Linked DNA regions of Macaca mulatta. The protein of the gene in region 2 interacts with the protein of the main gene of each other region in a pairwise test. Links are inferred from orthologs where the notes say so. Each region holds a gene or a part of one and is shown on either strand. Other genes may lie near its edges.

The links. The genes of interacting proteins can lie anywhere in the genome.
Region 1: the proteins of USP47 (region 2) and AP4M1 interact in binary tests that used the Homo sapiens proteins (3 or more experiments, as listed by UniProt). The two-hybrid records come from large-scale screens. The link is inferred for Macaca mulatta from reciprocal best matches to the Homo sapiens genes USP47 and AP4M1.

Annotation. Positions count from the first base shown.
Region 1 is NC_133408.1:47,408,006-47,412,298, reverse strand, and holds the start of AP4M1 (AP-4 complex subunit mu-1), read right to left. Parts: upstream 2,801-4,293; 5' UTR 2,763-2,800; coding exon 2,705-2,762; exon of another isoform or gene 2,598-2,704; coding exon 2,488-2,597; exon of another isoform or gene 2,091-2,487; intron 1,831-2,090; coding exon 1,724-1,830; intron 1,642-1,723; coding exon 1,545-1,641; intron 1,112-1,544; coding exon 1,001-1,111; intron 909-1,000; coding exon 828-908; intron 156-827; coding exon 93-155; intron 1-92. Other genes in the region: DNA replication licensing factor MCM7, read left to right, coding at 3,183-3,213. UniProt on the Homo sapiens protein: Component of the adaptor protein complex 4 (AP-4). Adaptor protein complexes are vesicle coat components involved both in vesicle formation and cargo selection. They control the vesicular transport of proteins in different trafficking pathways.
Region 2 is NC_133419.1:53,524,450-53,527,949, forward strand, and holds part of USP47 (ubiquitin carboxyl-terminal hydrolase 47), read right to left. Parts: intron 2,909-3,500; coding exon 2,804-2,908; intron 434-2,803; coding exon 226-433; intron 1-225. UniProt on the Homo sapiens protein: Ubiquitin-specific protease that specifically deubiquitinates monoubiquitinated DNA polymerase beta (POLB), stabilizing POLB thereby playing a role in base-excision repair (BER). Acts as a regulator of cell growth and genome integrity.

The DNA.
Region 1 (4,293 bases), on a different chromosome or scaffold from region 2:
ACTGTGTGGCCATTGCTGGGAGTCTTAACCACCCCACCATGTTTCTCAAGTCCCATTTGTCCTCAGCTCCAGGTTTGGGAGCTCAGACTTACATTAGATGCTATCAGTACAGACAATCTCTCGACCACATCCAAAAAAACTTCATTCTTTTGGCTCTAAGAAAGAGAGAGGGTTTGGATGGTTGGAAGCAGAATAGCCTATGTTCTGAAATGGACAGACAGGGAGAAAGGACAGGACAGTCAAAGCTACAGCTCTAGGGTGGGGACATGGGTGATGGAAGGGATACCCACATCTAGGGGAGGTGGGAGAGGTGTCAAGATCTTTTTTTTTTTTGAGATGGAGTCTCGCTCTGTCGCCCGGGCTGGAGTGCAGTGGCCCGATCTCAGCTCACTGCAAGTTCCGCCTCCCGGGTTTACGCCATTCTCCTGCCTCAGCCTCCTGAGTAGCTAGGACTACAGGCGCCCGCCACCTCGCCCGGCTAGCTTTTTGTATTTTTTAGTAGAGATGGGGTTTCACCGTGTTAGCCAGGATGGTCTCGATCTCCTGACCTTGTGATCCGCCTGTCTCGGCCTCCCAAAGTGCTGAGATTACAGGCTTGAGCCACCGCGCCTGGCCGATCTTTTCCTTTTTCTTTTTTTTTTGCATTTTTGGATTTTACCATGTTGGCCAGGCTGCTCTCGAACTCCTGGCATCAGGAGATCCGCCCACCTCGGCCTCCTAAAGTGCTGGGATTACAGGCATGAACCACTGCGCCCCAACGTAAGATCTTGGACTCTGGGGTCCCAGAGCAAAACCAGAGGGTCTGACCCCATGGATTCCTCCCTCACCTGGTCAGAGCGACTGGACAGGACAGGGCGGCTGGCTGCACTGCTGGGAGCCACTTTGCTCTGTTGTGTCTCAGCCCCAAACTGTAAAGCATCCAAAGCAATCAATCATCAGGTCTGACAACCCCAGCCAACCCCTCTTCTCCTTCCTCACCCTCCTCTTTCCCTCTGCTGACCAAGCCAACGCTGCTGAGGTCAAAGAGGCTGAAGGGCTTGCTGACCACAGCTTCCGTCTGGATGAAATTCCTCAGCATCTCTGTGGATGTGGTCTGTACATAGCCATAGTCCTAGTGGTAAAGGAAGGACAGTCCGAGTGGTCAGTGGAGGGAAGGGGTAAAAAGGGGGAGTGGGGCCAGGCATGGTGGCACACTCTTGTACTCCCAGGTCTTTGGAAGGCCGAGACATAGGAGAATGGTTTGAGACCACGAGTTCAAGACCAGCCTGGGCAACAGAGCGAGACTCCCGTCTCTACAAAAAATAAACAATGAGCTGGACACAGGGGAGGAGGCTGAGGCAGGAGAATAGCTTGAGCCCAGGAGTTCCAGGCTGCAGTGAGCTATAATTGCACCACTGCACTCCAGCCTGGGCAACAGAGCAAGACCGTCTCTAAAAGGAAAAAAAAAATAGACTTGGCCTAACCACAGCATCCCACAGTAGAAGAGCAGATGTATCTCCAGGGGAATTAGGTGGGGGCCACAGAAGGGGATCATTGATTCTCACCAGCACTTCATCCAGGAGTTCGTAGACCAGAGCCACATTGCGGGAGATGGTCCCCTCGCCCAGGGAGCCACAGTAATCGCCCAGAAGAGTGGCCAACCTGAGGAAACACTTGGAGCGTGTATTTCCTCCTCCTCTGAGAACCCTGCCAGCTAGCAGGTGCCCAGCCCAACCCTCCTCACCTGGAGAGCAGTTCTAGGAGGCTGAAGGGAGAAACGTTTTCTGAAGTTGTGACCACCAAATACAGGCTGCTGTGTCTGATGTGAATGAAATGACGGCCATCATGATGCTGAAACACAGGCAGGGAGAAGAGGGGTTAGGAAAAGGGAGGTGGAGTAATCAGAACCCAGGAGACCTGAGCTGGGATCCCGATGCCTCTTACTAGTTTGGGAGATACATGACAGATCCCTGAGCCCAGCTTCCCATGTGGAAACGGGGTTAATTATAGTAACTACCCCAAGTTGCTGATAATGGAGTCACGCAGGGAGCTGGGCCTGGTGTGTTGCTGGCGCCCAATGGACGTTTTTTTTTTTCCCCCACCCCCATTACCCCGAGACGGAGTCTCGCTCTGTCACCCAGGCTGGGTGCGGTGTCCGGATCTCGGCTCACTGCAACCTCTGCCTCCTCGGTTCAAGCGATTCTCCTGCCTCAGCTTCCCGAGTAGATGGGATTACAGGCGCCCGCACCACGCCCAGCTAATTTTTTTTTCGTATTTTTAGTAGATGCGGAGTTTCAGCATGTTGGTCAGAATGGTTTCGAACTCCTGACCTCAGGTGATCCGCCCTCCTCGGCCTCCCAAAGTGCTGGGATTACAGGCGTGAGCCACCGCGCCGGGCCTCTTGTTAGTTTTACTTGGAGAAATACAACCCCCAAGTGGAAGCTACCATGGAACCAGTCCTGGGAGGGAGACGGCGCCCACCCGGCCCGCCCGGGCCCAGCTCCTCACCCGCCTCCCGCCAGTGGTTACCATGACAACCGGGGACTCGTCTCCTGGCAGTCCCGTCAGCTTCCGGTAGAAGAGCTCGGCCACATCCCGGCCGCCACTGTCCCCGCGGACTGGCGGGTGGAAGGACTCAGTGAAGGATCCTGCGACACGGGCTGGCCCTGGGCGCCCCTCCCGCCCGGTCCCTCCGCCCCTTCCCAGCCCCGAGGGTCTAGGATACAGTCTTTGTAGATGAGCGGGTCCCCCTTGGAGGACAGAATGAAGAACTGGGAAATCATGGCCGTCCTGGAGAGCAGACAAGAAGACGGCGAAAGTTGGGCCTGCCCCGCCCTGAGGCCCCGGAACAAAAGAACGCGCGTGCGCTGGCCCTTTAAGAGCGATTCTCCTCCGCCCGCGCCAGCTTGGACCGCGGGAAACCCGGCGCCCGCCCCACCCCGCCCGGAGATTCCCTTCCGACTCCCGCACCGCCTCCCCGTCACTCATTCGAGGCCCGCCCGGCGATTGGCTTGCGGCTAGCGGGAGGGAGAAAGGGCCGGCTTTTCCGATTGGCCCGCACGCAGTGGCGCTGGTCACGTGGGGGGCGACGTTTCGCGCCAATTTCGGTTGGCCGGCCACAGTCCACCGCCCGGACGTTCTCAGCTTCCCCAGAAGCAAGACCTCTGAGCCCGCCAAGAGCTGCCGCACGGGCCTCGGCAGCGATGGCACTGAAGGACTACGCGCTAGAGAAAGGTACGGGTCTACAAGCCTGGGAGGGCGTCCTGCGCGGGGAGCCTCCCGGGGAACACCTGTTGATGTGAGCTGGGGTTTTCGAGGACCGGGGTCAGCGGGTTCTGGGGCGCGCGACGCCAGAGGCAGGGTCGGGTTGCGGCCTGGCTAAGGCCCACGGGACCTGGAAGGCGCGCGAGGGGCATCGACGTTGAAGAAAAGGTAGTAATCCCACTTGGGAAAGGTGTTATAGAGTCGTGGGGTTGGGGGGCTTGGGGGGCGCTACCCGGCTGGGGGCTGCACAGGGAAGAGTCGCGCCGAGGACCTCAGGAGACTCTTTAAGGGCTCTGGACCCCGGACCCGCTTCCCTCCGCGCTTTTGGATATTCCCAGGTTCCCGCCGCCTCCCCGAGGCGCGCGGAGGCCCCGGGGGCGGGCAAGCCGGGGCCGCTGCGTGCCGGGATTGGCCGTTTGAGGCCGCCCTCCGAGCGGAAGTGGAGCCGGGCGGAAGTGGCGCGACGCGGGTGGAGGGAGTGTCGTGTAAACAGTGTCCTTCCGCGTGGCGGCCTCGGAGAGAGCTGCGACCCGGGGGGGCGTGCCTGGGATCCGGGAGCTTCGCTCGGGCCCGGGAAAGGCGGCAGTGGGCTGGGATCGCAGTGGCCCTGGGCGTGCTGGCCAATGGCTGAACTGGCTCCCGCCTCGGGCGGAGGAATCCCGGGCTGTGAAGCGGCTGGAATCCGGGCCCATGTGCTTCTTTGTTTACTAAGAGCGGAAGCGCTGGCGGGAGCGGTGGTGGGGTGCGGGACCTGCCTGGTGGCGGAGGTCTCGGTGAGATAAGGGGCTCGGGGGACCCAAAGAAGGCAGGGGATCATGGGGGTGGAAAGAAAGCTGAGAACCTTGAGGCCGGAGTGTGGGAGGCCAATGGGGAACGGCGCTAGGATTTTAAACTAAAGTAGGGACAGGAATTCCCCTGGGGAATAGATGTTGGATCGCCCTGTGCACTGCCCCGGGCTCTTTATTCTTCGCTGGTTAAAACAGACTGTGCAAAAGAGTTATGCCCACTTTGGGGAGAATTCGGTAGTTTATTTAAATGTTCATATTATTA
Region 2 (3,500 bases):
GCTATTTTTTTGTTGTTTTTAAAATTATGCATACAACTCTTTGCAAGTAATCTAGAACTTAATTTCAAGCTGTTGCTGAGTACTTCTCAACCTGTCAAAATTATTCTACATTTTAAGACCATATGAAAAATTTAAATTATGTTCATTTCTACAATAAAAAAAAAAAAAACTTTCTCATGAACATTTTAAGTACAGTAAAACTAAAAATAGTGTAAAACTGCTCACCTCCAGGTTTATAAGACTGGAAAACCTGATCAGGCTTTCTCGTCTCCAGCAGCAAATCAAACATATATGTTGACTTGACGCCACCTAGTAGAAGCCCCATTGGTGTATCTTCTTCTCCTTCATATGACCGTTCTAGATAATCATGAAACTCATCATATTTAACAAGGCGACAGCAATCCAGGGGTATTACCTCTTCTAAATCCATCATCTAAAAGAAAATAATCCCCCAGAAAGAAAAAATATATATACATATATAAATACACAGTGTTCTAGTCTGTTGGGTAATAACACCACAATAGGCCCTAACAAAATCCACACATTTATGATTTGCATCAAAGACATCAAAGTTACAGGCACAACTTAAATGTTATTTTTAAATAATTATGTTTCATTATCCCTCAAATCATATAAAGCATGTACTAAATACATTTTTGTTTTTAAAAAGTAAACTTCATAAACTTTAGATGTAGAAACAAAATCAATGTATTATAACAATTGTTCGTAATCAACTAAGCTGGAAACACAGAAGAAAACAACCGAACAGCCAACTAGAATATGCATCTTTTGTTTTCTTAATCCAATCTGGAGTAGAATTGATAATTCATGTATCTAGTAACAATCTAAGTACAGGAGGACAGCATGTCTCATAAAGCCATCACAAAGGGTATGGCTTCTGTCTCTCAGGTGCCACCTCATTCCTCTCCAGATATCCCCTTTCAATATTAGCCTCCAGAATACTTACAGCTCATGGTATAGGAATTTCTATCATAAAATTTCCTTCTAGCTTATGTCACTAATAGATGACATACCCTGGTTGCAACAACTCTCTTGATAGGAAATAAGCCTCCTAGAGAAACATAGTAGGATTGCTTAGAAGTATTCAATGTTCATTTAAGGTTGTGATTACGATTTTCAAGAAGGACTTGTAAGGCTCAGTGTATCCCCATTGATCTCTACTCCTCCCCAACTCCCACCCCCAACAATGAAGCTCTAGTTTTGGCATATAAGATTGACTTATTTCTCTCTTCTGTTTGTTTCTTTTTATTTGCAAACTTTCACACTTCCTATTTTCAAGACTAATGCTTGCAGTCCACCATTATATTTAAAGAATTTTTACCAAAATGAGGCAAATCCAGAGCCATCCATACATCTTAATGTTTGTTCATTCATTTATCCATTCAACATACCCAACCATTTTTGACTTTTCTATATACCAGGGAAGAATACTAAAAATAAAATTATGAGCAAAACCAGAATGGTTTTTGCACTTGTATGTGCTTATAGTCTAGTGAGGGACAGTAATATTAATTAAAATAGTCAAACAATTAAATGTAAAATTTCAATACTGATAAGTGCTATGCAGGACCAGATGTATAATATAAATGATTCTCAAACTTGACTATGTCTAAGAATCACCTGATATATGTGTTAAAATGCCTATTCCCGGGCTCCAACAGAGAAATTCTGATTCATCTGCAGCAATTAGCATTTTTAATAAGAATGTGACTCTGGTGCAGATTGTGCTGGATCACACTTTGAGAAACAATGTCAGCTATCTTGTGTGTTATTTTTAGTTATTTTATTGGTTCCATTATAACTACACACAAAATGATGTAGTATGCAATTTTTTTCTCTAGGTAATGATGGTTTAATTTCAGTCATTCTGTTAATGCTTATATGGAAAGGGGAAAACTTTAATTTGTTAAGTATCATAAATGACATTTAGAATGATCTGGTGAAACAGCGTGACCCCATTTGCCTTTCAAACCTCATTAATAACTTTCCACTACTCTTAGAGAACAAAATGCAAACTTCTATTTCACAAAACCTCTAATCTCATTTTATGGTACTCTGTGCTCACTTAAAACAATCTAAACGTATGGCTCCTTTCTTCAGTTTCTTAAACGTGCCAAGCATCTCCTCACCTCAGCACTTTTGCATATGCTGTTCACTCTACTTAGAATATTCTTCCTTGAGCACGGGCCAGTGACCGAGTGGGTAATGCATCTGACTATGGACCAGTATATTCCTCCTCAACTTTTTGCATCACTGCTTCCCTTTCTCATGGTTAAAGTCTCAAAATAAATTTTCTCAATTTAATACTAATGTATTTACAGCATCTAAATAATAAAATAATTGCAAATTGTGATGTTTACATATGTTTTGTCTGTTCTTTCCAATGGATTGTAAACTCCATGAAGGCAGTGACCACGCCTTGTTCACTTTCGTATCTCTAACACCTCATGTTGTCTTATTCACTCTAATATCGCTAATGTTTCATACAGTAAACACTCAAGAAATGTATGTTAAATGAACAGAAAGAGCAAATAAACATTCTGTTTCTAATTTTAATTCTGGGATCTAGAAAGTTTAAATGGCTTCCAGAGAGAGAAAATTTTCAAAATCAACTGACTATGCTCCAAAGGAGAGGTATAAATATACTCAGTAAGAGATAAATTAACTGGTTACCAAGGTTACTGCCAGTGTTTATATAACTACTATCCATAATAAAAAATTGGGAAATTATGTTAATACTGTTGTATTAGTAAGTAAATGCCAATGATGCAGTTAAACATACCTTATAAGCCATTTCTACTGCTTCCTTTAATGTCTTATCCTTATGAACCTCCAATTTATTTTCCATCATTACTTGTTTTGTAGGATGCAAACAGAATAATTTTATCTAGAAAATGTAAAATATCATCATCAACTCTGCAGTTCAAGAGTCAAAGTTCAATTCTTCTGTAGACAGCATTTTTTCCTAATTGTCAAAGTACTCTAATTTTTTAAAAGAACATAATTGAGATCATTCTTTCTTCTATCCTTTCTCACTTAGTACTTGACACTGATTATGTCTCACACCATACAAAAATTCAAAAACATTACTTTTAACAACTGTATGTTTCCTTATAGGCATGTATCATGTTTATGTAATCATTCCCCTACTGATATACATTTGGGTTGTTTCCAATTTTTCCCTAATTTGGAAAATGCTATAATGAATATCCCTGTAATCAAAGTATTACAGTAATTATGATTATTTCATTAGATAATAATTCCATAAGAGAAATTATATTTTAAAATATGATTTTGCTTAAGGTTCTTGATAAATACTACTCAATTTCTATCCAATTTTTACTGATTTATTTTCTTTTAGTAGGATAAGAGAATGTGTCTACCTCAACTGTGGCTTCACCAGCACTGAGCACCGTCACTACGTGTTTCTGGGTTTTTACACATCAAATCAAATCAAATCAAATTTTACCTTTATAGTA